7 linked regions of the Bombyx mori genome follow. The protein of the gene in region 1 purifies or fractionates together with the protein of each later gene. This does not show direct contact. Links are inferred from orthologs where the notes say so. Each region holds a gene or a part of one and is shown in the gene's direction. Other genes may lie near its edges.

What was found.
Region 2: the proteins of protein max (region 1) and Rybp purify together in Homo sapiens (affinity purification with mass spectrometry; 3 studies listed by BioGRID and IntAct, with this or other methods). This does not show direct contact. The link is inferred for Bombyx mori from reciprocal best matches to the Homo sapiens genes MAX and YAF2.
Region 3: the proteins of protein max (region 1) and ruvB-like 2 purify together in Homo sapiens (affinity purification with mass spectrometry; 3 studies listed by BioGRID and IntAct, with this or other methods). This does not show direct contact. The link is inferred for Bombyx mori from reciprocal best matches to the Homo sapiens genes MAX and RUVBL2.
Region 4: the proteins of protein max (region 1) and bromodomain-containing protein 8 purify together in Homo sapiens (affinity purification with mass spectrometry; 3 studies listed by BioGRID, with this or other methods). This does not show direct contact. The link is inferred for Bombyx mori from reciprocal best matches to the Homo sapiens genes MAX and BRD8.
Region 5: the proteins of protein max (region 1) and max-binding protein MNT purify together in Homo sapiens (affinity purification with mass spectrometry; 7 studies listed by BioGRID and IntAct, with this or other methods). This does not show direct contact. The link is inferred for Bombyx mori from reciprocal best matches to the Homo sapiens genes MAX and MNT.
Region 6: the proteins of protein max (region 1) and histone acetyltransferase Tip60 purify together in Homo sapiens (affinity purification with mass spectrometry; 3 studies listed by BioGRID and IntAct, with this or other methods). This does not show direct contact. The link is inferred for Bombyx mori from reciprocal best matches to the Homo sapiens genes MAX and KAT5.
Region 7: the proteins of protein max (region 1) and paired amphipathic helix protein Sin3a purify together in Homo sapiens (affinity purification with mass spectrometry; 3 studies listed by BioGRID and IntAct, with this or other methods). This does not show direct contact. The link is inferred for Bombyx mori from reciprocal best matches to the Homo sapiens genes MAX and SIN3A.

The regions. Positions count from the first base shown.
Region 1 is NC_085131.1:6,419,340-6,423,628, forward strand, and holds the start of protein max, read left to right. Parts: upstream 1-1,489; 5' UTR 1,490-4,289. Other genes in the region: uncharacterized protein LOC101745073, read right to left, coding at 832-911, 1,083-1,194. UniProt on the Homo sapiens protein: Transcription regulator. Forms a sequence-specific DNA-binding protein complex with MYC or MAD which recognizes the core sequence 5'-CAC[GA]TG-3'. The MYC:MAX complex is a transcriptional activator, whereas the MAD:MAX complex is a repressor.
Region 2 is NC_085134.1:5,459,482-5,463,484, reverse strand, and holds the start of Rybp (ring and YY1 binding protein), read left to right. Parts: upstream 1-1,203; 5' UTR 1,204-1,372; coding exon 1,373-1,508; intron 1,509-4,003. UniProt on the Homo sapiens protein: Binds to MYC and inhibits MYC-mediated transactivation. Also binds to MYCN and enhances MYCN-dependent transcriptional activation. Increases calpain 2-mediated proteolysis of YY1 in vitro.
Region 3 is NC_085117.1:3,017,033-3,020,532, forward strand, and holds the end of ruvB-like 2, read left to right. Parts: intron 1-436; coding exon 437-657; intron 658-1,243; coding exon 1,244-1,382; intron 1,383-2,255; coding exon 2,256-2,367; intron 2,368-3,009; coding exon 3,010-3,044; 3' UTR 3,045-3,463; downstream 3,464-3,500. UniProt on the Homo sapiens protein: Possesses single-stranded DNA-stimulated ATPase and ATP-dependent DNA helicase (5' to 3') activity; hexamerization is thought to be critical for ATP hydrolysis and adjacent subunits in the ring-like structure contribute to the ATPase activity.
Region 4 is NC_085117.1:1,939,524-1,943,619, reverse strand, and holds the start of bromodomain-containing protein 8, read left to right. Parts: upstream 1-1,296; 5' UTR 1,297-1,648; coding exon 1,649-1,833; intron 1,834-3,109; coding exon 3,110-3,290; intron 3,291-4,096. Other genes in the region: uncharacterized protein LOC101740762, read left to right, coding at 1-100. UniProt on the Homo sapiens protein: May act as a coactivator during transcriptional activation by hormone-activated nuclear receptors (NR). Isoform 2 stimulates transcriptional activation by AR/DHTR, ESR1/NR3A1, RXRA/NR2B1 and THRB/ERBA2.
Region 5 is NC_085122.1:12,291,062-12,294,561, forward strand, and holds part of max-binding protein MNT, read left to right. Parts: intron 1-1,346; exon of another isoform or gene 1,347-1,602; intron 1,603-1,974; exon of another isoform or gene 1,975-2,037; 5' UTR 2,038-2,167; coding exon 2,168-2,549; intron 2,550-2,563; exon of another isoform or gene 2,564-2,695; intron 2,696-3,500. UniProt on the Homo sapiens protein: Binds DNA as a heterodimer with MAX and represses transcription. Binds to the canonical E box sequence 5'-CACGTG-3' and, with higher affinity, to 5'-CACGCG-3'.
Region 6 is NC_085124.1:9,217,630-9,221,564, forward strand, and holds the start of histone acetyltransferase Tip60, read left to right. Parts: upstream 1-1,135; 5' UTR 1,136-1,223; coding exon 1,224-1,268; intron 1,269-1,340; coding exon 1,341-1,467; intron 1,468-1,957; coding exon 1,958-2,110; intron 2,111-2,535; coding exon 2,536-2,670; intron 2,671-3,382; coding exon 3,383-3,534; intron 3,535-3,935. UniProt on the Homo sapiens protein: Catalytic subunit of the NuA4 histone acetyltransferase complex, a multiprotein complex involved in transcriptional activation of select genes principally by acetylation of nucleosomal histones H2A and H4.
Region 7 is NC_085108.1:991,196-995,473, forward strand, and holds the start of paired amphipathic helix protein Sin3a, read left to right. Parts: upstream 1-1,478; 5' UTR 1,479-1,651; intron 1,652-2,738; exon of another isoform or gene 2,739-2,924; intron 2,925-4,278. Other genes in the region: protein seele, read right to left, coding at 330-397, 488-575. UniProt on the Homo sapiens protein: Acts as a transcriptional repressor. Corepressor for REST. Interacts with MXI1 to repress MYC responsive genes and antagonize MYC oncogenic activities. Also interacts with MXD1-MAX heterodimers to repress transcription by tethering SIN3A to DNA.

The DNA.
Region 1 (4,289 bases):
ACAGGTTCCTCAATCTAAAGAAAAGTGCTTAAAGTTCATGGGAATTTTTTATTGCTCTTGGTTGAAAGATAGCCTTATCTACTAGGTAAATACCACCATTTTAACTTTTCGCGAAGCAGTAATGCATTTCGGTTTAAAGGATAGTCTAGCCTATATATTATAATACAATTAAGACTTCGGCAGCATCTTCCAGATGGGTGGCGTATTCAATGTCATATCTATGGCCCCTATAATCACTTAAAATTAGGTGCAACACCACTATCCGTTGGCCTACTAGGTCTATTAAAAATTGAAAACAGGAATTTTATTTTAAATATACCGGCGCAATACAGTCCTGACTTCATGCAAGCAGTTTGTAGTTAAGTTACTGCACAATAACTACAAATTGCAATGTACTACAATTTATTACCTATTCATTGCAATTCTAGCATCAGCCACCAAAGTTTATTATATGTCAAGTTAATTATATTGCACCTATCAAAATCACCAACGAAATATTGCTGTAATACTATGGTTTTCCAAAACTTCGGATTATAATCTAAACCGTCATTAGTTAGAGTTATTACAGTTAGAGTTAGATATGAATAGTTTTCAAACAATCGATAATTAATGACTCAATGCTACATAGGTGTGGCTTAGGTTATCACTTAAATATTACACTTAATACACTTATTTAACAGGAGGTTATCAGATGTGGTAGCATTAAGCGTGATCATAATGATTCTAGACAACAATAAACTTGGTAGATACTATGATTATTGATCGGGGTTATTGGAGAATGTATGTATGTACGTCCTTTTGAAAGAATATTATTGTAAGTATGGGACTCACTTGTTGATATGCTTCACGTTGACCTGGTATAAGATAAGAGACTGGATAATCAAATTTAAATTTGGATACATAGTCTGTGTCTGTAAGTTCAAAAAATAGATTCTTTATTATTTCAATATTAACATGTGTTTAATTAAATTTAATGTTTTAGTACATAATTCGAGGTATCGCATGAATTATGTTTAGATTAATACTGACCATGGGCAGAATGCAACATGTAAAATATCAAATATAAATTTAATTTATACAACCTTTTGCAACTTGCGTACAATGAGGAGGTGTGATGTTTTCCAAATCATTCCCGTGCAATCCAATTACGTATTTTAGTAAAAAAATTACAATGGTTATTTTAAAGAAAACCATTTTTGTTGATACCGAAATTTTTAATAAGATATTTTAAAATTCAATAAAGTGAACAAAGGAACAACAGTAATATACGAGTTATTATTTGACACTGTTGTGTTTAAGTTGAGTGTAGTAATTAGGAATATTGCATCAGCAAATAAATTATAACGGCCACGAGATAAGGAGTTTAAAAAAAGTCTAACGGTATATTACGTAATAATATTTAGCTTGTTGAAGTTTTCCTCATTGTGATTAATCATCATCTGTTTTAGGTTGGCAAAATTATGATTTGACATTAGTTTAATACAAAAAAATATTTTGTTGATTACGTATAACTTCGAAATGTATGCAACGTAAGTATTTTAAAGAACGTTTATAATTTATAATTTTTAGCCGTCGTAGCCTAGAGGATTTGTCATACTGAGTCGTATCAAGAAGTGCGATGCGGGCCTTGAAATGCATCGGGTAGGTATAAGTTTTATACCCAATTTTTTGGTTTCCCGTAGGCAGCGGCTTGCCTCTGCCCCTGGAATTGCTGAAGTTCATGGCCCACAAGGGCAATAAAAAAATTAAAAAAAATTACACCTCGTACCTATCCTGTACATACGAATAATTATTTCGACAGTAAGGAATATGATAAAAATCTACTTTATAGCAACCCTAACGCCTGCCGCGTCTGATCGCGCGCCGCGACCAATCAGGGACTCTCGTTGTCGGCTCCCGGCGCGACTCAACGACCGAAGGGCTTTCCCTTTGGCAAGCCGCGTGCGCCCCTTTTCGGGCGCCGACAGTTCACCCGCAACCACCGAAGCATACACACGAGAACACGTCCGCACCTCGCTCGCTACCATTCCTTTTCGAACTTGTTTGTGGGATCCTCTGGAGTGTTCATACCCAGTGCTCCAGCTGGACAACACAAAACTGGCGCCCCAACGTGGTAAGGTAAATCTAGCGGTGAGTCGACGAATCATATCGGTTTTGCAAATAAAATTGTGAACTCATGATCATGGTGAACACTCGAAGTGATAACCGTGCTAGCCGAAATCGCAGGGATGATGATGCAACGGACCCGTCGTTCGCGTCCCGCGATCGGTCTTCCCGAGCGCGTCCGCCGCCCAAGAAAATGGCGCCGGCGACGCCTCGCGCATAATCTACGAGTCCTTTCGAGAAGCATCTACGAGCGCGTCTCCCGCCTGCGAAATTGGCGCTGCTGACGCCTCGCGCTCCAATCACCACAACCGATCCGGCGATAGCCACGTGGCCCCCGCCGAAGCCACCTTCTCCAGCGAGCACGTGTCAACATTAGTAGAGGCACTACAGCGGAGCCAAACAGAGGTTTTGAAATAATTATTTGAAACGATACGGCACAACACATCAACACCAGTGCCCGCATCACATGCACACGCGAACTTCGCCCGATGTACCGCGCGCTTTAGTGGGGCTGCAGGTGAGTCGCTTGATGCCTTCCTGGATGCGGCCGAGGCGTATCGCGACTGCTCCGACATCTCGGAAGAGAACGCCATCCGGGGATTGTCCGTGCTGTTGTGCGGCGACGCCGCCGTCTGGTGGCTGGGTGTGAAGTCCTCTATAATAATATCTTCGTGGTGCGATGCCGTCTCAGCCCTACGAGATGCTTTCGGTGATCGCAGGCCTCCACACCGTATAAACGCTCAACTGTTCAAACGAGGTCAACAAAACGATGAAAGAACGGACCGTTTCATCGCTGCGACGCGCGCTCTTCTCGCGAAGCTACCTGCCGGCGACCTAAGCGAGAAAGTCCAGCTGGACATGATCTACGGACTCCTCAGCCGCCGCGTACGGGAGAGACTTCGTCGCGACGAAATAAGTTCATTCGACGTGCTTCTGCAAAGAGCGCGCCAAATTGAAGACGCGACGGACGAACTTCGCTAAGAACACGATGCCTCAAGACCGACGGGAGAATTAGCAAGAAAGCCATACGAGTCGACGACCGGCACCGGACGCACCCGCCCTCCGCCAGCAACCGCAGCTCGCACGGCCACGTGCGCTCCGAGCGGCGCCACCCCCGGCCACGAGCCCACGACGCAGCCGCCGCTTGCTCTCGGAACGCCGCGTGTATTTGACTCCGCCGAAAGGAAGCGACGCCCGAAATGTTCGTATTACCATTTCTTCGGTCACGAGAAGAACCAGTGTCGTAAGTTAGATTCAAAACAAGGTGATCAATCTCATACTAACTTATTTCAAAATAAAACTCACTCAAAATCTAGTGAAAGTGAAGTTAAAAGTGATCAGTCATTTTATTGTGTTGATTCAAAAGTGTGTTTTAAATTTGAAAACGACAAATCAGAAAAATACCGTATTCGTAGTTCTAATTTAGTGCATGAAACTTGTATACCTATTTTGCCAAATAGTGATGCATGCACTGATACCTACACACATTATAAACAACGGCGAAATCCACAAAATTATAATTTTGCTGCCCGTAATTCAAATCGTTCGAAGTTTAAGGTTACTGATAACAGTGATAATGCCGATCGATCTCGTATTGATCGCCCAGGTTCTTCTCGAGAAAAGAATCACAATATCACTGCATGCAACACGAAATGTATAACATGTAATCGATCGAGTGACGATCACAAAAATAATAATAGTCCGAGCGAAAACCTTACTCACGTTAGCCCTTCAGCCGCCACAACTAAAAATGTTAACTCTTTGGTTGCCGAACGTAAAAATGCTAATTTTTTTTCAACAAAAATAATAATTTGGATATGTTTTCTAGCGTCGACGGACATCTTTGCCGCAATGCCAATGCAAACTGGCAATGTCAAACATTAACCTGCGCGGTCGCAGAGGATTCAAATTTTGTTCATCAAAGATGTCCGGACGACAGTAATATTTGTATACCATTAGTTGAAAATTATTGTGATAAAAACGGGATAAACCCGAATTTTCCGAAATATGGGAATAAGCGTGATGTAATGGGATTTGATTGTTTTTATGATTGCGGCGGAGATGACGATCTTAGGGGACCCCCTATTGGTCGTGACGTACGGCCGATTTTTAACATAAATATACTGGGTTTTGACGGCACCGCTTTAATAGACACAGCTGCAAAACACTGCATCGCGGGCCAT
Region 2 (4,003 bases), on another chromosome or scaffold:
ACAAACAATGTTTAATCTATTCTCAATTTGACAACAGACGTCAAGAACAAAAGCTTGATAATAAATAGTATGCATGCGTGTGTGCGTTAAATACATGGTATGTAGTGTGTGTAATGTTTTCCTTATTGATTTAATTAATGTATATTTTATGCATTATTTAAAAAAAATATTAGCATTGTGCACTTCTCTATATTCTCTTTAAGTGTGGAAATTTTCAACGCCTCCGTCCGCGCAATTTTCGTAAAAAGGAATATTTATTGGTCAAGGAAAGCCAGGCTGAAATTAGATTCGTATTAGAAAAAAAAAAAACAATAAATTCAAAGTTAGAATTAAACGTTCGTTTTAAATTGATAATTTTCGTGAAAAGATCCAAGATTTTTGAACCACGCGTATTTCGCTTCAAGTAGAAAAAAATGAAAGGACTTCTTTCGTAAAACTCAGGTAGAGATTTTATTTCTATCGCCGTCACAAAAAAGGGGTCGTTTTCTAAGAAACGGCATAGAAATATTTCTCAAAGGCTTACCGTGCTTCATAGTTTTTGTTTAAACGATTTTAAGCTTTAAAATAACCAGTATAAGACACATAATTGAATTTCTGCGTTTAAGTATCGGTACCTATTTAAAAATGTACACAATTTTGTTGACTGATATTTGGGTTCAGTGGTTTAGTGTTGGTGTGTCATTTGGAATAGATATTTCGAATTTTAAAACGTTTGGAGTTCTTGACCTTTACTTAATGTAGCGGCCCTTTTGTGGCTGGTCAAAGACTTGTGCTATCAGCTAATTCTTTTTGGTTCCAAAGTAATGAATGACTAGATAAGACTAGGTTCATAGACCTTATACTAAGAAGATCCACCTCCCGCCTCAACAATCCACGGAAAGAATAATATTATTATGGTAACGTTTGCGTTATTATTTAATTTTATCAACTAGTTCACCACCATTCTGCCTGTCTTTGCCGCAAAATAGCCCTTTTGAATTTTGGGACCAATAATAAAATGACCATATCCGCATTCGGTCTTCTATTAAGCCCAACCAACAATATACTTATGTACTTTATTCGCTGTTTATTATTATGTTTGAATTTTATTCTAAGAAAAATTTATAAATCTTAATTCATGAATAACGCCATCTAGTATTGCTATTTTGTAGCTAAAACAGCTCAGAAGAATGTGGCGCCTTCACGCTGTTTAACCGACGTAACATTGACGGCTGTCATGGCGTAAAAGTGTACAATCTTTGTGCACAGTAAAACAAAAATAATGATTTCCCGACGCATTAATTCACAATTGTGCATTAGAAATAATAGTTTTCAATCAAAAATATCATGATAGACGTGTCTTAGCTACGTTTAGTTGCGTGTATGCATTAAAATGGACAAGAAAAATGCCATTAGAAGAGCCAAAAGGCCATCAAAAGTGCTGGAAGAAAACTACTGGGATTGTAGTGTTTGCACGTACAGGAATAACGCGGAAGCTTTCAAATGTTCCATGTGTGACGTTAGAAAAGGTAAATACTGTAACTGAACGCCAATATTTTTCATATATGTAAATTCTGCACACGAATTTGACCTAAATGATCTAATTCACGCACACAGAGCCACGTATCTTAACACGATGATTGTTTCAATGAGCTTTTTATTAATTAACTACGTAACCTTTTCATATAATAAAACGCTCAGAACTGCAGACATTTAAGTATAAAAGGGCATTCACATTACGTATTCAAATTCTAACCTAAAACCTAAACCAAGGACGAAAATTATTGATTAGTCTAGGGCGACGTTACGAATAAGAGCGAATAAGTATGAGATTCATATAAGAATAAAATCTCGACGTATCAAACATTGATTACGAGTTAAAGTTCCGCAATAAAAGTACGGAAAGAAGTAATCATAGTATTTCTACACCGAAGTCAGTAAGTAGTAGAATATAATTTTTTTTTTAAATTGGTAACCAAAAACTTCACTATAGCGGTGCATTTTTCTACCGGCTGCTTCTCTAGTAGACCTTCAAGACGGTTTCCTATAATGTTCTTGTATCAAAATAGGCAAAGCATCAAACACGAATTACCTAGATGACCTGACTTAGATTTTTTCGTTTTCTGTACATACAAAGTAGAAAGGTTTGTGTTTTTGTATATCAAAATAGTACATAACACTGGACAAAAAAAAAATCTTAACTGAAAAGTATAATGGCTGTTTCTAATTACAACAAGCAATCTTGAGTATACCATGAGATGGACATGAACCACCATATATACATAACTGCTATTAAAATATTCCATCATATTTGGCATTTTGCATAACTTTAAGTGTATGATGTTAGACATCAGTATTATACTAATTTTGTTGGCAAAGCACTCATTTGTTATGGTATGAAGAGCTTACCGTTATTCAAATAAGTACTTAATGAGCGAGGACATTCATGTTGTGATCTCAATATTATTGCATAGTCCAGAAAAAAAAAAAAATGTACATACATATTGACGCTTGAAAGGCGAAAGTGACTAAGCGACAATAACTGATTTGTACATAACAAAATATATATTTCTAGGTCTATTAAAACCTATTTCAATCCTACAGCTACTAGCTAGATTCTACTACAGCTAGATTCGTTAAAATAAATTTTGTTTTCAGGTATTCCAACTTTCAATTAGTCTACTGTACAGTTCACACATTGTCACTTAGTCATGTTTGCCTTTCAAGCGTCGATATGCTCTCTGGAAAACAACTGATGTTCTATTTTGGAAACATATATTTACTAACCTATATAAATTATCTCTTATTATATAGAAGTGATAAGGCTGCTCATTGCCACCACTTGTTTATTTCTATCATAATATACATGTTTCTTGTATGTATAAGATATACTTTCTGTGTATGTTTACTACAAGGATTGCCCTATCAATGTGTGTCACTATCGATAAATATTGTCAATAACATGGGAATTTCCAGCATGTTGGTTTATAAACTTATAACACTGTATATGAATCGTCTATTATCAAAGGTGGCAATCTGTGCATTTGGACAAAAATTTTTATTGGTATGTCAATACAGATTGATTTGAATATAATCGTCTCCTTCAAAGAATACGGTTCAAAACCTGCATTAAATAAAGGTTAATAGTTAACCTGTTATTTATCTAAGATGTCGTTCCGAAGAGTTTTGTGACTGCCAATGGAATACAAAGTCAATAATTCGTTTTTCTGATTTACCAATCATTGTCCAAAAGTCAGATTGCCGGCTTTGATAATAGTCGACTCATATATAAGATTAATTTATTCTTTCTACCCATTTTCATTATTGGCACATTCTTACAGGACAACTGATGGTAAATGGTTACTGTGTTGCTCACAGAATTCTGTAATGTCAAATGTGCAATTAAAGTAACTTGTACTTCTGAGGACACTTTTCAAATACTTGTTTGAAGAAGGACATGTTATAGTGGTCTCTTGAAACAAACTGAAGAAAATTAATTGAAAAATGAGAGACCATTTGGAAAATTGTTTTTTTTAAATCTGGCGTTAAGGAATTAGTTTGTTTTGGTACGAAGGTAGCTGAGTGAGGTAATTTTTGCAATGGGTCCGAATATTTCATAGTTTTTATGGTAATAGACAAGTGAGGTTTGAATAATGAGCTATTTACTGGTAAGTAGTAGGACCTCTTGTGAGTCCGCACGGGTAGGTACCACCACCCTGCCTATTTCTGCCGTGAAGCAGTAATGCGTTTCGGTTTGTATAGTGCGGCAGCCATTGTAATTATACTGAGACCTTAGAACTCATATCTCAAGGTGGGTGGCGCATTTACGTTGTAAATATCTATGGGCTCCGATAATCACTTAACATTAGGTGGATGGTGAGTTCGTCCACCCATCTAAGCAATAAAAAAAAATTTTTTTTTTCAATTAAATTATTTTGGAAATTTTGAAATTCCTAATCGTAAACATAGTCCTACTGACTCTCGACGACTCTTGTTGACTCGTACGTGATTACCACGGTAACTG
Region 3 (3,500 bases), on another chromosome or scaffold:
ACTTCCTACCACCAGTAAAAAAATTATGAAGCTCATAGATGGATACTCTTGCTCGAGCCAGACTCGGGCAAGGTAGGGGAGATTCCGATGGTAACTTAACCCAGCATGGTTCTATTGCTGACCAATGAACGTTCTGCTGTTCATCTGAAACCTCATGTAGATTTTATTTTTTTATTGCTTAGATGGGAGGACGAGTTCACAGCCCACCTGGTGTTAGGTGGTTATTGGAACCGATAGACATCTACAGCGTAAATGCGCCACCCACCTTGAGATATAAGTTCTGAAGTCTCAAGTATAGTTACGGCCGCCCTACTCTTCAAACCGAAACGCATTACTGCTTCACGGCAGAAATAGACGGTAGAAGTAGATAAGTAGTTGGGTTCGCGTGGTGCTGTCCACGGGCCCTATCGAAACTTTCTTATTTCAAACTCACCAGGCTCACATGCTGGACATTGAGTGCTTCTCGTTCCTCAATCGCGCGCTGGAATCGGAAACCGCTCCCATCGTGATCATGGCGACGAATCGAGGGATCACCCGGATACGGGGTACCACTTACCGCAGCCCGCACGGCATACCGCTGGACCTGCTCGACCGGATGATCATCGTGGCCACCTCGCCGTACTCCCAGAGTGAGCTCAAGGACATACTCAATATACGGTGAGTTCTATATATTTTTTATTGCTTAAATGGGTGGACGAGCACACAGCCCACCTGGTATTAGGTAGTTACTGGAGCCCATAGACATCTACAATGTAAATGCGTCACCCACCTTTGAGATATAAGTTCTGAGGTCTCAGTATAGTTACAACGGCTGCCCAGGCCTTCAAACCGAAACGCATTACTGCTTCACGGTAGAAATAGGTAGGACGGTGGTACCTGCATAATATATGTGTAACTATGTTTCTTTGAGTATTGTATGGTGGTAGAACCTCTTGTGAGTCAGCACAGGTAGGCAATTAACACCAGGTGGGCTGTGAGCTCGTCCACACATCTAAGCAATAAAAAAAAACTATACATATTATATTAACACTTTATAGTGTGTATTTATTATTGAGTTTATTTGTATATTTCAATGCACCTACCATTAATTAATCTACACAACTTTTGGTTGACTGGTAGATAAAGCCTTAGGTATTAAGTCCAGTAATATAGATGAATACATGAAGTGTAAAAAAGATAAAATGTTTTATCGATTAGGTTACCTCTGTAATTGCTTCTACATCTCTAGTTTTTCCCTTGACAGTTGCGAAGAAGAGGACTGTCAGATGTCAGCCGACGCTTTGACAGTTCTGACGCGGGTCGCCACGGAAACGTCATTGCGTTATGCCATACAGCTGATCACTACGGCTTCGCTCGTCGCCAAGAGACGGAAGGCGGCTGAGGTTAGAACCGGTTCTTGAGGCATCCGAGGTTACGGATACGTAGGGGGGGGGGGGGCATTAGACAGAAATTAGTAATACAAGTGATTTTATGTGTGTGTGTGTACGTGTTGTGTATGTTCATATAAAACTAACCCTCAGGCATAGCCCGCTGAGTTTCTCGCCGGATTATCTCAGTGTGTCGCGTTTCCGATCCGGTGGTAGATTCTGCGAAGCACGGCTCTTACTAGGATTCGTGTTAGCAACGTCGTCAGGTTTGAGGCCCGTGAGCTCACCTACTAGTTAAGGCTACGCTGAAATAGCCTCTCAAGGCTCTCAGCTAGGTAGGATAAAAAAGAAACTCGATAAAGGTTAGTCAAATTGATATGTTACTTTATACATATTTAAAGGACGACATGACCGGTCCGACAGACATAGTTACGTTAGTGGCGGATAGATGGCGCTGTCCGTTTTGATTTTTATCTTTTGAACCTTTTTTGAACGGTTTGAACCTTTAAGCCGAATTGGTTTGAAATTTTGATATGTATGGTAGAAGCGTAGCGCACCGGGCACCAGTTAATGTATATAAAAGTTGATGTGTGGATGTCGTCCGGAGAAACGGATAGTCAGATTTCGATGAAATATTTCGGATTAGTGCAATAATTCAGTAAAGCTACCAAGCTTCAGCGATCAGATCAAGATCTTATGTTTGAATTACAAGTATATTTTAGGTTTGTTTGTTATTACCTGCCCAAATTTAAAAGCAATTTATCTTGTTTATCGCTATTGTTGTTAGTTAGTATTATTAACGCAGTCGTGTTTTTAAATTAATTCTAAAGTAATGTTATACTTACATTCTAATGTTGAAGGATGTATTGTATTGTTCCTAAATACCAGGTCAGTATGGAAGACGTGAAAAAGGTCTACTCGCTGTTCTTGGACGAGCATCGTTCCGAGCAGTTTTTGAAGGAGTACCAGGACGAGTTTATGTTTAACGATGGTTCCGGCGGTACGTGTTTGAAATTCTACTAAAAACTCGGAAAACGAAAATTGTGTTGTTCCATTAATTACCCGATTTTTCGGGGAAACTTTTATTTTCCCAAAAAAATGGCAGACTGGTTTCTGTCTTGGAGTTCGTTTGCCCATTTACTAGAAAAAAATCTTATTCGGACTATTACAAACATAATAAGAAGGAGCTAAATCTATTGTAAATCAATATTTTATATATATCCACCAAATGCCTATATATAGTGTTTTAGTAAATTAGTCATATAGCCAGAAAAAAATATGATAACTTTGAGAGACTCACAGTGGCGGGCAAGGTGGATGGGAAATGATCCAGGTTTCGGAGCCTGAAAATTTGAGTTATCAGAATTAAATGTCGTACAATCTGGATACGATACGACATACTTCACTATCCCAACATAAGTAGCTACAGATCACAAGAATATGCCGTGTGCTAGCGCATCACAATGCATAGTAGTAAGCGACCGATTCGAGAAGGAGGTAGTTTTTTAATACATAGGAATCTTTGGTTGGCAACACTGTGTATGAAAATTTGTCAAAAGACTTTTTTCTCGACTGTGACCTAAAAACAAATACTTAAAAATAGTAATACATGACAATGCAAACTAATTAAATTTGTTTTCAGATGCATCGCAAGTGATGATGGAAGTATCTCAGTAAAAGAATGAAAACATCTTTCTACAAATGACACTGTTCAGTTTTACTTTGCGTAAAATTTATTATTTCTATGAAGCACTGAGGTTTTTACCTAAACCTACTATTGGTTGGTCGAGAAATATTTTTATACCATAAACTCATGTTTCTTTAAGTCTTGCAATACAACGTTCTTCATTGCTTCCACAACTACATTGAAGAGAAAATAATCTACATCATTTCTGTGGTAGGGTTCTGTATTGCCAAACTTAAAAAAAGTTGCTTGACAAAAAAAGTAATGTTTTAAATAATATGAAAGCAACTACACCATAAAGAATGGTTAGAATTTTGACCTACGATACAGATAATAATATGTTTCAAGAGCAAATATGGCTTTAAAACGATTTGTTAGTTTTTTAATTTGATAATAAAGAAATACAAGTGTATATTTGTGTTTTATTTCTCGAAAAAATGATAAAGAAA
Region 4 (4,096 bases), on another chromosome or scaffold:
GAGGCCTAAAGGACGAATGTCAAAATCTGATGACATTGACACCGTGTTGAAGTTTATTTACGAGAGGCAGAGGGGAAACTCGGCGGGACATAGCTCATAAAATTAACTAAAGAAAAACTAAGTTTCAAGTTACACACAAAATATATGTATCTAAAATTTGAGAGAAATTAATGTGAGATATTATTTTATTTTCCGGAATTCCTTAAAAATAATTAAAAAGTCGTTTGAATGCTGATAATTAATTTCGTGTGACTCGTTTCAGGCCTAAATGACAAACATGACCCTAAACGCATACTGGGAATAATAACCTATAAGGACTTTAAAAGATTAGATTTTTAATTGTGTCGAATCGGTAGGCGATTCTAAGGCTCACTTGGCACGCGATTATCATCCCTAACGCCCCACGACATAGACAACTCAGTGGATTGTGGAAAATAGTGGAAATATTTTTTTATTTTTTTATATCTTAGATGGGTGGACGAGCTCACAGCCCACCTGGTATCAAGTGGTTACTGGAGCCCATAGACATCCACAACGTAAATGCGCCACCCACCTTGAGATATAAGTTCTAAGGTCTCAAGTATAGTTACAACGGCTACCCCACCCTTCAAACCGAAACGCATTACTACTTCACGGCAGAAATAGGCAGGGTGGTGGTGCCTACCCGCGCGGACTCACAAGAGGTCCTACCACCAGTAATTACACAGATTATAATTTTGCGGGTTTCATTTTTATTACACGATGTTATTCCTTCACCGTGGAAATCAATCGTGAACATTTGTTGAGTACGTATTTCATTAGAAAAATTGGTACCCGCCTGCGGGATTCGAACACCGGTGCATTGCTCAACACGAATGCACCGGACGTCATATCCGTTAGGCCACGACGACTTCAAAAAATATGTCATAGATCTATCTTATTTAAAAAGTGTATTAGAGTCTAACTATCATAGATTTATACACTTAATATATTCGAGATAACTATACTGAGACCTTAGAACCTATATCTCAAGGTGGGTGGCGCATTTACCTTGTATGGGCTCCAGTAACCACTTAACGCCAGGTGAGCTGTGAGCTCATTCCCCCATCTAAGCAATAAATAAAAGAAATAATAATAATTGAACACGCCAACTAACAAGCCGCTGAACGTAACTTCTCGGGATCCTCCAAAAATTTCACTGAAAAAGTCTACAATGAAATGACAACCATTTTAATGAGATTATATATTTTCTTCCTATATCATCTCATCTTAATTGATTTCTTTTTCATTCCATTTCGTTTTCATTTCATTTGATTTCATTTCATGCCATGTTTTATATTAATCAACTTCATTTATATGTAAAATTATAATATGAAATAAAATATTATAATTTTACATATAAAAAAGTTTTCATTACAATTAAAATAAGACTTGACCCGAAGGTCTTGATAACCAGGTCATTAAATACTTTAAAAAAAATATATTTGTTTTGTATCATGTTTGACGTTTGTATCATAGAATAAACACTTATTAATTGTGTTCTAAACAGTTAAATAATAAAATAAAAATAATATACTTTCAAAACAGTAAATACACATTACATGGACAATTAAACAACTATAAATAGTTATGTAATCTCGAAACTCCATTTCCAAAACATAACCTCAAAATGAGCTCGATACAAGAGCGTCTTCAGCTCAAAAGAGTTCCTCTGGACACTTGGAATATACGTGAACAGCTATGCCTGGCCTCCGCCGTGGTCAGAAGCGGGGATCAGAACTGGATGTCGGTTTCCCGCGCTCTAAAGACCCTTGGCGAGCCAAACAGGCCTCCGGACTGGTATTCCCAAAAAAGGTTTTGTTTTTCTTTTATATCTACTATATAATTATTGATACAGGTTTGAAATAGCTTGCGATAGTGAAGTGGTGGCTGAGTTGATGAGAAACACATTCGTTTTTACACATTTATTTTTTATTTTCAAACCATTTTTGCATTATTCACCAATGAAAATTCCACCACGCTTTCCACGTTATTTGAACTCGATAAAACTTAAAATTATATTCAGTAGAGCTATTATAGTATTTAGTAGGCTATAATAGGTCAACACACACTCCTCTCTCTCTCATATCGTCATTCACACACTCCATCCATGTCTTCTTTGGTCAAGTTTTCCCCCTCTACCTTGCACTACAATTTCCATAAATCTCCTAGTCTCATGCATCTCCTCTCTACGCATAACATGTCGATACCACGTGAACTGTCCGCTCTTTAAGTCTTTCCACTCGCTAAAAGACACCCTCTATAACTTTGACAACATTAGGATTGGTTAAACACAGCTCTTATATTATATGGCGGGTGGCCCCAATAATTAAATGTTCAAAAGAAATGTTAATACAACATTTTGACAAAACAATAACACCGAGTTAAACAAAATAAAATGAGATCATTGTCAAAAGCCAATTGAATATTCAATATTATAAATAATTTATAAAAATATATTATCAAATAAACTAAAATAAGTAGCATATATAGCAATAAGTTTGTTCTACACACACTTATCACATTTTATTATTATTCTCATTATCCTCTCGCAGGTCTGCTGGAAGAGATTTCTCAAAGAAATAAGTAGTGCCTTTGTACATAATTTTCCTATTACTCTGTACTGTGTCTTGTTTTCTGTGTGTACATAAATAAATAAATAAAATAAATAATAAAATAGCACTAGCTTTAAAATAAAATCATTTAATGTAATTACACTTTGGAAAGAGTTCTGATATAATGGCATATAAAAAGAGTCTAACTAAGTATGTACCTTCTTTATTTAAAATCTATGAAAAAATTTAAATTTTGCAGATTGCTCCTTAAATCCCCAGTAAATTAATCCTATTCATAAAAAAATTAACAAAATTACAAATAACTTATTTGAAAGACACTAAAGCTCTAATTAATTATATTCATTCTATTATTTTAAATAGTTATATTGTTTATGAGCTTATTCAATCCATATCAAACTGCGTAGATGTCATGTCTTCCTCTGAAGCATTGGATAGCTGAATGATAATGAGATTTAGATCTACAAGAACTGTGGGCTCCGTTATCCGTATGTCATTAACACATTTCCATCCATCAGCTGTGCTGCACAATATGGAACGCTATTAGAACATGTGGAAACGCCGAAACGAAAAAAGAGAAACTCTGACGGTGGCGTGGAAACTCCACAGGAGAGTATATTGAAACGTTTAACCCAAGATCGGATAGCCGAGATCCAGAAGAATATTGCTGAAATGAGTCAACAACATGAAGTAATGAAGGTATTTAATTTTCAAGTGAAACTTCTTTCTTTCTTCTTTATGAGGGTAAAATTTTTACAGAACGTCACGCAGGTATGCAACGGAAGGACATCAAACTACTATTAAAATTAAGTACTTGTCAAATGTCAGTAGTAGTAGTTGTTGTATTTTTCCAACTGGAAAGGCAAATGTATCATATCATACAGCCTAATATTTTATTTTTTTGTGAAAAATGTTAATAGGAATTGAAATGAAATGAAAAGAATTTGGAACATAGCATGAAATTAAATTAGTCAATTCAATTGGCAAAATATTAGTCATCTACAATTTAGAAATCTAAGCATAATGTGAATGTCAACACTGAGGTTTGAGATTGACATTTGACAGACTTTTGGCGGGAACATATCTTCCTTTTTCCCTTCTTCTAAGTCTTGGAAATCTAAAGTTTTAGATTTGCATAAATATAAGTAAGACTTATAAATTAGTTCGCCAAAAAAGTTTCACTTCTGACATGTGTACTTTGTACGCACGCACTTTTTTTTTTTTATAAATCTCAAGCTTTTTATAAAACTTTAAGTGCTGTCAGAGTTGTTAAGTATTGGCTAATATCTGACCATTTAGTGACAGTTCGGTGTCAACATCAACATCAACTTTTAAAAGGTTTTATAGCCTAGTAATGAGAGTTTTAAGTCAAAGTCTTATTTTTACACACCAGTGCATCGCTACATACGAATGCACCGGACCTCTTATCCTTTAGGCCACGACGACTTCACTTTGACTCATAAATATAAGCTAGTAATATATCTTTCTTTACCTTTGTACCACAG
Region 5 (3,500 bases), on another chromosome or scaffold:
TGTGCATCCGGTGCACACTAATTATTGGGAGGGACTGACCGATCAGATCCTCCTTTACGTAGTCTATGTCGAGTTCCTTGGGGACTCCACGTATCACTACGCGGAGTTCGCGGTCCTCCTGAAGAGCATAGGTGTGATAACCTATGTTCTCCTTTCGGAGGTAAGCAGAGAGGGCCCTATGGTCGCCCGGCGTTGCGACCTTAATCTGAATCCCATGCGCGACGTTACGCGCATGGGTATAATTAATTTTGTTGGCCTGAAGGGCCTGGGATACGCGATTCCACGCTGACTTCTCCTGGAGTATCAGCGGGGGCGGGACAACTGTTTTAGGCGCGGGCGCGGTTTTTGGGCGCGGCGGTGGGATTACGCGGCGGGCGGAGTCCGACTCCGGCGTTACGACTACCTGCGGTCGGGAGGCGGTCGCGGACTTGGTTTGCTTCGTCATGGAGCTCCGGGACTCCACGACGCGAGTACGCTTTTTACCGCGCGTTACAGTTTGGAACCCATCCGAGGTTCCGGGTTGAGGGCTAGTCGCGGACTCGAAGTCCATCTCCGATTCGGTATCGGAGCCTGAACTAGACGCTATTGAGGTCGCGACGGACGAAACTGACGTGATTGACGCGGGCGCGGGGGTAGCGGGGGCGGGGGCGTTAGACGCTACGGCGGCGGCGTGCGTACGTGCGCTTGAACACGGACCGGCGGCGGGGCACGCGAGGCATGCCTGCGAGGCATGTTTGGCGACGGCGGCGAGAGATGCGGGGGGAGAATAATTACCAAATGAGGCCCTATAGGCTTCGAATTCGGGCGCGATTGACGGGTATTTTTCCCGAATGAAGTCGATGAAAAGTTTTTCCTCCATCTTTACGTGATTTTCGCCCGGGGGGGGCGGCCCCGGGACTTAAACACGCGCTCGCCTTGCGGCGAGGCCCCTGCGTCGGTAACACTAAATTGGCCGAAGCGATTCTAGGAATTTTAGAATTTTAGTGAATAGAATAAATAGAATAGAATTAGAGTGAATAGAACCACTGCACAGTTCCCGGGCGGCAATGCCTTGCAATTAGGCGCAGGTACAAATTCCGAGAAACACTTGGGCCACAGATGTGCCACGAACAATGATCTATTATCACCGGTAGTCACTTCCGACAAAACAATGAGCACGTCCACGCGCGTCGGTTGCTCAAATCGGAATCGCATTGAAAAAGATGAACCCAGTTGAGACTATTTTTAGATAATTTATCATAATGCTTATTGATTTTAAACTAAATTGGTTAAATTGAGGGACAGCACTTTGTACTGTAAAATTAATAAATATTTACAGTAAAATCAACAGAGAAAACACCAGGAAGGAAACTTGTCTCGGTTTTATTTGTTTTTGTTCTAAAATCCACAATGTCTGCCAATTCGGTCGGCTGGTCTACCAGGGTCGCATGGTGTGGGTGGAAGTTCTTTTGAATGTCAGTCTGCGTCGGCGGGGCGGAGGGGCGCGGAGGTGATTGCACGTGCCAGAGACGCGCCATGCGCTCGACGCCCCCCGCACTTGTTGAGCGCCTCGCCACAGACCTCGCTTCACATCACCCGCTCGCCGCTCTCCAAACTAGTTTCCTTACACACGCAGTCTCATTATTGTCAGCAAATATACGGTCACTAAGAGACTCGTTCCACAGAATACTTATTAATTTCGCTTATCAATGATGCCGCTGCACAAGAAAAATATCGATATTTTTTGTTACAATGTAATTGTTAATAATCGATTCAACCTAACCAATTTTAATTTCAAGGGATAATTACGATTTGTTTTCGACGAATGACTGTACATTAAATTAGTAGGGTTTCACCGAATTTAGTTACTACTCTTTTCTGTAGATGTATGTCACGGATGGATTGCGCAAACGCTCTGCAATACGTCACTCGCTTCGTAATGAAAAGCCAAATCGGTCGTAATTTTTGTATTAAATTGAAAGAAGACTTTTTTAGGCGACATTTTCTGATCAACAGATCGCAAACGCATTCGCTCAACAAATTTATATTTTTTTATAGTACAGCCAACATTTCGATTATGATATAGTGAGGGGTTCAACAAGAACTCTGTGTAGTTAAGTGACAAAGACAGTGTGTGAGAACTATGAGGACCCATAAGCGCAGCTAACGATCGGTTGCCCATCGTAGAATGGGTATACTCATGGAGACGACGGAAGTGAACCTGGGCAGCGGGTACAAGCGAGCGCGCGAAGTCAGCACCATGGGGGCACCCGGCGAATACTACGCGGACACGTTCCACACCATCGCCATCAATACCAGGGAGACAGAGTTCGGAAGCATTGTCGAACCAATTCCGATCATGCTCAAAGCCTACAAGTACGCTCCACACGGCCACCCGGCTAATGGTTACGGTTCCCCGCAAACGACAGCTCCTATTAACCCTGTCCCCCGGCTACTCCCGGAGGCACCACCAACATCGGCCTTCGCCCCGATTATTTACAAAAAGGAAGAGATGAAAACAGAGAAGGTTCGACCTCCACCAAAAAAGAAATGGATTAGAGAATATTTAGGTAAGTTTGGATACCTGGTATAATCGTTCGTAATTTGATAAAGTTGTACACGACGACGCATGCTAGACGCTAGATTTGTCGGCCTCTGTCTGACCTCGGCGTCATGATTTCGTTCATCGCCGACCAAGAACACGTCTGTCGCGGACCTGTCACGACAGAACCTTTATTTACAAGTGTTATCATAATGTTAACGGATAATTGTACACGGTACTCACTAATAAAGGCTTATCATCTATCGTATTACGGGTGCTTAACTTCAAATTACTAACTAAATTGAAAGCTGCGCTGTATTCTATGTATAACAGAAATAACAGAACTACCCTTAGACTTAATGTAAAATACAGGTCATTACCGATGTCATAGGTATATTTATATGTATTTATTTTTGGAGTTTACTCCTTTAGAATCGATTTACATATATAGGCCCGGGGTATGAAAATTATGGGGACCAAAATCGTACTAGCATGTCACACGAAATGCGTTATGCGCCTGATTGCGCATGTCACACGAAATGCGTTATCGCAGGTGACGCCGGGCTGCTGCGCCGGCAGTCCGCCACAAAGCCTCGTACTGATCGCGCGTTTCTCTCATTATTGTATTTTCATATATTTGTTAGTCGTTTGTTTTGTGTCTCGTTAATTTGTTAATAATCTGTAGTGTATCGTGTTGTCGTAATATAGAACTATTTCTCGTATTGTTTCGTTTAATTTTTTATATCCAGTAAACTCCAGTCGTGCGTCGGAGCGGACACACACACTTTTTTTCTTAATTATTTAATGTGCCTAAAGATTTGATCTATTTTGATACATCACTCTTTTATGGCAACATATCTTTCGTATGTTTTTCCAGAATTTGCCTAGATGAATACGGTGGCTTAGAAAAGACCGCCTTGTATAATTTATAACTGCCTGTTGAGTGATTTTCAATGTTAATTATTCTTTGGTGTGCAAT
Region 6 (3,935 bases), on another chromosome or scaffold:
TCTCCTGGCTGAACCTTTGCTCGCCCACGTGTCCTGGTGAAACTGGATAGACTTCCAACAGCTATTTCTCAAACATAAAAAAACGATTTTTGTTATTGGTGTCTATGGAGCGAGGAGTTAATGGAGCGAAAAGTCTATCTATAACTTATCCAAAGTTGCTCTCGACAACATCTTCAGAACAAAATAAAATAAAATTTGCTTCTAACACATGTTCATAAGCAACTTCTGCGTTAAAAGAATGACAACGTGTAAAAAATTAAATGGAACCCGCGAAAAGTTTACAAATGTAATTATTTCCTCTAGCGGGGTTCACCACAGACTGCTAGACAAAATTATTAGGGTTTTAATACTGCCTAGTAGAAAGCCTAGACTTTCTCCACGTGCCCATGTCGCCAATGACAACATCTATAAGCCATTCGAGACACTCTGATCTTCGATCACGCGATTGAAGGGTTCCATTACTCTATGGCTTAATTTCTATCTTATTCGTGTGTATTAAGATTTTTTGAGAATCAAATAAGATTTGATTCTCAAAAAATCATGTAATCCAGTTTTAGCGCACGAGGAAATTAACAAAACCTGCTTTTACTCAACAACCCAACGGCGCATCTCTTCTCGGTGCCTCACATCACGGCTCATCAGTTTGACGTTTGTCAAGACGACCAGCGGTTCTCTAATCCCTCCCGCTTGGATAGGGCCGTTAATACTCCCGAGATACTCCGCTAGGTCAAAACCAGCAAAACAGAATCACTTCTTTTACACAATGAGTAGTTCAACCTTTTGAGCCGAATGCGATACAAATGATCCAAAGCAAAGTAAGGAATTAGTGAATTGATATAATTTCATTTCGTTCCATTACACTTTTTACATTGCTATTATATATTTGTGTTCCGGTAACTATTTGAGACAAGGTAAGCTGTGACTCACGAGCACATTCGCCCATATATGCATTACGAAATAGCTAAAAAAACATATCAATGATTGGTATCTGCAGATTTACGTAAGCGCTAAATAATACATAATCGGTAGACGCTTGAACTCTCAATATTTATTACATTTCAATTTTCGTTACCTACTAGACTAATCACTTATGAATAATATTCCCTTTGCCTATTTAATGTCAGATTGACTGCAATCTGATTACTTTGATATTGACAGCAATGACAGCTAAGCATTCAAAGCAAATAGCTATTTTTGTGAAAAAATAATATTATTATTTTAAAATGAACGAAAATGATGATGAATTGACAACATTTTGTGATTCAACGGTGATTTCCGCTTATTTAGAATATATATGTGATATAATACCGTGAGATTAATTTATCATCTTTTTGTTTTAGTCATCGCTTGTTGAGGGATGCCGTCTTCCTGTTCGTATGCAAGGAGGAGACGACTGGCCACTCGCCGAAATTATAAGTATTAAAGAAGTTCAGGGCCAAAGAGGATTTTACGTGCATTATGTTGATTGTGAGTAAATAATGAACGGGTATGTTTGTTATTCATTTTGGAAAAATTGTGTGTAACATTGATAAGAAATTGACTGTGATGCTAGATTAGCAGCTAATTACCTATATCTATAAGCTTTAGTTTTGTTATATATATGGGAAATTTCTAAAATAAAGCTACTTACCTATGTTGAGACATTTTATAAATTTATAACTAATGTGAGCTTGTTATCATATGTGTAATTGATAAACAATCTAGTAGATTGAACTTAAAGGATACTTAAAAATGTTCTACAAAGGCACATGTCTAATTGAGATCTTAATTTAAAAAACCAAAGGGTGGTAAATGGACTAAAATCCAATTTAGTAGCAGAAAAAGCAAAGAACACTTGTGATAGGGTGTCTTGTAAGCTTGCATACGTATGTACTAACAGAATAAAAAGATTTTCTCCTGTTTTTCATGAAGTGCTTAATTTTTTTGAAATTAGACTTAAACATAAAAAATTTTTCAGTTAATAAACGTCTCGATGAATGGGTGGGTGAATCTTGGTTGGACACTCGTAAAGTCCAATTCCCTCGACGGGATGGAACAGCAACAGGTGGTACAACTACTCCAAAGAAAACACTCATTGGATCAGGAGGTGGCGTTATGCCTACTTTTATTAGTATGTGTCTTTGTTTTTAGAGCTTAATTAATTGTTATGGTCATTTCACTTAATTTTAAACAATTCAAAGTTCAACTTCACAGATAAAGAATGGGATTTGGTAATAAATTGCATGATTTATATTACTCTACTATTACTCTCTACTATTACTTGCTATTTTTCCTCCACCCGACAGTTCATGTTGGACTGGATAAAAGCAGTAAAACAAATAGAGTCCAAACTTTAATGTGTTATAATTCTAGCTTTAGTTGATGTTGTCTTGAATGCTATAATTAATATAGTAGAATATATTTGTACTTTTATTTTGTTACTGTATGATTCTTTGTTTTGCCCAGTACAATGTCTCGTGCCAAGTGTAGGTTAGTTTGTGTTACCAAACATCCATGATCAACCAATTGGCAATAAAAACAAAATTTTGTCTGCAGATGACACAGTCTGCAATGAGAATCAGAAGTCTAGTAATGCTAGAACTATAACAAATCAACTGACCCAACCCAAAACACATGAAAAGGCCCATTTTAGCAATGCACTCAATGGTTCCGCACAAAAAAATGCACTTGGTAATGTACCATAATAATTTATTTTGTGTAATATGCTTTTATTTAGGTAGATATGTCATGCTTTTATTCTTAAAACAATAAATTTATTTTTTGTACTTTTAAACAGTAGCAGTAGTAGCTACTGGTATGTATAATGTGAGCATCATTGATGTTATTCCAAATGATTGTTTAGTTACCAACATATTATTCAACATGTCAACAGCTTAGTAGCCATCAAGTTGTAAGCTTAGAAATAATAATAGTTTCTTGTTCCCTTATAAGCACGTTTGAAGCTCAGTTGTGAGAACCAGTAATACCATAGTCCATATATTGAATATGAATATTTTCTGTCATGGTAATATTTGATTAACATATAATGATCATGTTAGTAATTATTACCAATTAATGTGACAACTAAGCAATTTAGTATTTTCTTCGGTTTTCGCCAGTCGTAAATATAATTAAGGCTACTTTTATACCTTAATGTCTTAACTGTGTATGACGAGTCATCCGTGACATAGAAAACAGTAAATTATTCATAACTACAGTAAAAAACGACAGATTATACTTTAAAAATAGCAATTATAATGAAGCAATTGTTTAATTTTGGCGTTTATTTATTGAAAGAAATATTGTAATTCTATTGACGTGAAGCCCTATTAATGTGAAATGCTGCAGTATTGTGTCAAATCACTCTTAATTTAAAATACTACATTCCCGGTTTTCTGCACAGCTGTGGTTGAACCAAGACAGTTGGTGTCCCGACCCGCCAGTCCGACTCTGGTAAATGATTCTTCGTCACTGGTCAATGGAGGAGCTGTCCTCGCAGCAGCCTTACAGAAAAAGATGAACAGAAAACGCAAACCGCCCTCTTTGGATAATGACGTAAAATATCAATATTAATATTTTTTATTTATTTATTGCTTAGATGGGTGGACGAGCTCACAGCCCACCTGGTGTTAAGTGGTTACTGAAGCCAATAGACATCTACAACGTAAATGCGCCACCCACCTTGAAATATAAGTTCTAAGATCTCAGTATAGTTACAATGGCTGCACCACCCTACAAATTATAATTTTGCGGGTTTCACTTTTATTACACGATGTTATTCCTCCATCGTGGAAGTCAATCGTGAACATTTGTTGAGTACGAATTATCATCAGAAAAATTGGTACCCGCCTGCGGGATTCGAACACAGGTGCATCGCTCAACACGAATGCACCGGACGTCTTATAACCTTTAGGCCACGACGACTTCTTTGTCTATGTCTAGTCGTTGTAGGTCTT
Region 7 (4,278 bases), on another chromosome or scaffold:
TTGAAACCACACTTTGTACTGGAGAAAGTTATGACTATTTTAGTGTGACTGTCAACATTTACTTGAAATATAGTTATAGTGAAATATAGTAGAAACAAGTTATAATTAAATTATTTTTTTCGTAATAATTTTAACTGTCGTGCTTAAGTTTTTCTCATATTTTAGATGCTAAAGGAAAGATTCATGTTAAATTTGTATAAGATTATTTGAAAACATACAAGCAAAAATTTTTAAATGTTTAACAAATTAAATCAATCTTGAAAAATGTAAAAGAAAAGTTTTAGATGCAGATTTTTTATATTTTTATTTTAAAGTTTAAAATTACTCACATCGACTCTTTTCCATTTATCTATGCTTTTTATCACCTGGTGAAGCTCCTCAAACGTCGTCCGACAAACTAGAAAAATTATATAATTTATATCAAATAAATATTAAATTATCATATTAACAAAATAATTAAAAAAAACAGAAAACACGTAGTACACACCCAAACATTTTAAGTTTTTAGGGTCGATTCTTGCTGAAACAACACTGAATAAAATCACAAATGCAAAAATTAAACTATTCAATCTCATTTTTGTATTAAAAGTTCTTGAATTCTTCTTTAAATTGCGACGAATTAACGATAAATGCGATGAAAATTACAGACGTGTGTTAAAATTAATCTTTTTTTTGACAATTACACGATCTTTAATATTATTGGCCAGTAGAAAAAAATCAGACCGTCCGTATTGGTCGATGAAACTATTAAGCAATCAATTACAAATGAAACATTTTCGGTATTGTTGGCCTATGGAAAAGGACTATCATATTTTACTGCATTATCTTCTAATTTTTCCTTATTGAACTTAATTTGTCTTCAACATTGATTGAAGAAAACAATCAACGATGACAATATATTTGGTGATAAAGGTGTCAATCTACAGTTTTCGTAAAAATATTAATTTCCTAACATTAAAGCATACAGAATAGCTGCTTAACGTTGCGTCAATATTTTGAAGACTATACATAGTTTATTACATTTTGTAGATATTAGTAGGTATAAAGTATAGGTATGTAATCGTTCTACGGCAATATACTTAAAAAAATGGCAATTAAAAATTTGCCTATCGATTACCTACTACATAAAATATATCATTCATACACAATATGTGTTTATATAAGTACTCAATATATATTATTGTAGACGTATATTTACAAAACTATCGCTTTGCACAGGTCCGCGTGGGTGCAACAACCTGCACTAATGATTTTTTCAAAAACTTATATACCTACAATAGAACTCTTCAGACAATGACATAATTTAAATGGTACAACAGAATTGGTTGATTTTGTGTACGTTTTTTTTCATTAGTAATAACGCGTTTACGTTTCTGAGTTCTCGATCGTCCGTTCTCCGGTTTTGCGTCCTCCCCGCGGCCCTCTGTCCTAGCCCCGGGCGTCAGCCGCCAACCCAAACCAACAAAAACCAACAGTTCGCATTCGGTCTCTGTCGACGTAGGACGTTTGCTCAACGTAATGTTAAATTATTCTATGCATTTGAAATTCTTTAAAATCTTAAAGATACCTTAAAAACGTTTGCTATTACGTCGAGAAGTGACGTTCCTGTGATTTATTCGTAGAAAACCGAGAAATTCGAGCATCCAAAGAGGTGAGTGACTGGTTGTCAGATTGCGTCTGCCATTCAAAGCTAATTGTCTATACCATTTATCTATTTTGTTTTGCTTTATATCTCACCTTTTATAGAAATATACCTACAAAGCACCCTTTGCAGACTAGTTATACGCATTGGCCCACACCTGTTCAGATACCATACGTTAACCTTTTGCCGCACGCATAATTAGACCAATGTAACTTCTATTTATGTAACGTTGCAAAGAATTCTTCTTATCACTTGAACGTGTTATGTGCAGTTAGAAAATCTCAATTTCATAATGGTAAATGGCGCGCTGGCCAGTTTCAGACGACCTGGCAACATCAAGCGCGCTAACTATAACAGAAATAAATATCTAGATGTTCTTGTTATTATCATGTAACCGGCATTTCCCTTTGTTTTCCGTGTGAAATCCTCCTTTGTCCTTCGGTAGGGAGCGCTCGATGCGCGAACGTAAAGGAATTTCGACTCTAGAAAAGCGCCATAATACATTGATGATATTGATATACATTATTAGGTTGGGCCATTCGCTCGCGTCGTCGTTCTTACAGCGCCTGTGTTTGTGCGTATCTACGTGGAGGACGTCAGTGTGTTCGTGGTGTAGTTTGTTTATACAGATAGCTACGGAATTCTCGTCTTTATCCCGTTGGCACGTAACATGAAAGTCGAGCGCAGGTCGGCGTCCTCGTCGCTGTTTGTCTATCGATCTCTGCGGTGGCCAATGGCACATGTCGGTACGGTCGTGCGCGGCCGCGCCTCGGTGAAAGCCGGCCGTTCGCTCGACATTTTACAATTTATGTATAAATTCTACATTAAATCAGCTTTTCAACACTATACCTAATATCTTATCGTTTCATGAATTGTTACGTTACATGCATTGCAGTCACCACCCTTCCCTCTCCATATACAGAAAACCACATGATCTACATTATGTTTTCAAATAAGAAAAATACGCGGGACTGTATGATGATAACATTATAAGATAGATAGTGTTTTGTGGAGCCTTGCTTGGAGCTCGAGCGTCACGGCGCTGCGGGGTGGGGGAGGGGAGGGAGGGCCTGAAATAGAAGCGCGGCTTGGAGCGTGCGACGTGGCAACGTCGCCTCTGCGACCGAGCTCAGTGTCGGTTCAAAATGGCGTCTGTGCGTGATCAATACTGTGATATTTGCGTTAAAAATGTGGTGTGTGTGGTCGCAGGACGGCATAAATGCTACCCTGGATCCTCAGGGTGTGCACCCCACACCCAGCCCGGGCTGTCACCCAGCTCACAGTACGTATTACAAACATATTGCGCCGACACTCATCGCTTCATGTATCTAGGTATGACTACCCATATGATTCGTATGGGCAGAGCGACTGTACTACAATCATGCAGTATATTGATAATACATACACAGCGCAAGCCTTAAAGAAGTTCCTAAATATTTTATTATATTACGGTTATAAATGCCTAGACAAGCAAAAAATGTGTCATCACAACGAAACGAATTGCACCATGATGAGGCATGATGTTGATTACGTAATCCCAGAATAATTTATATTGGACCATGTGCTCGTATTGGAAAGGAAGGTTTGAAAGTAGCAAATTGAGAACTTTATAGTGTTTCTTATAATCTTTTAAATTTGGATTACACAGGTTTAAATATAAAACAAAATGGCGGCATACGTGTCCGTATTTAAGGCGTAGTAGATTAAAGTTGGCAACGTCGCATTTCGCGCGCGCCCTCGCGGTGATTGTTAGTAGGCATGTTGATTCGATAAGAAGTTCCAAGGCTAACAGTTTTCGTATTTCCAATGTTTACAACAATGGATAACTTGAATGCGTGATAATAAACGAATAAGTATGTATTCTTGACGTTAAGAATAATTTATTTAATATCAGTAAAACATCGTCCTACGTATAATAAACACGTTAAAAGGTCAAATACTAGTGAGTATAAGTGAGTAAGTAGAGCAAGAGTATAAGTACTAAGTAGAGTATGAGTATACAAACTAAGATGATTCACTATTTATTAGTTTGTGATGGACTGCTTTTGTTCTTAACTGAGAGACTCTTAACATTCTTAATTTTGACCATAACCTGAACAATATAATATGCTTCTTCAATAAATTAGTTTCTTAATTGTAATCACTTAATTTACAAATGTGTTTCGGAATAAAAACTTAAGGATGAACCTTAAAAATTAAGGAAATCTTTTAACGTTACTGGTTTAGGTTTATCAAATGAAATAAATTAAATCCCTGTGATAGTTATTATCTTAGGCTGTTCACCCAATACCTTTGCCTTTAAAGTTAAGTTTAGGCAGTTAAATAAAAATAAAAAAACTTCATAACAAACATTTGCTTACGCACCGCTTAAATTAAACTACATAGTTATGGATTTCAATCGAAAAACAGACTACACAGTGGCTACCAGTAAATCGTTAAAGAGACTATATTCGATTTTTTGAATCGACATTCGTTATTACGATGTACTTAGAAGTCTGTCACCACTTCGATAAAGAGGCACGACACGAGAACCCTCTTATTGTGGCCGCCGGTAACTACATTCCCGATCCTGCGGAAAGAATGAAAAGCAGTCGACGTCACCCCAAACACGTCAATTTCGGATCCTCCCAATCCAC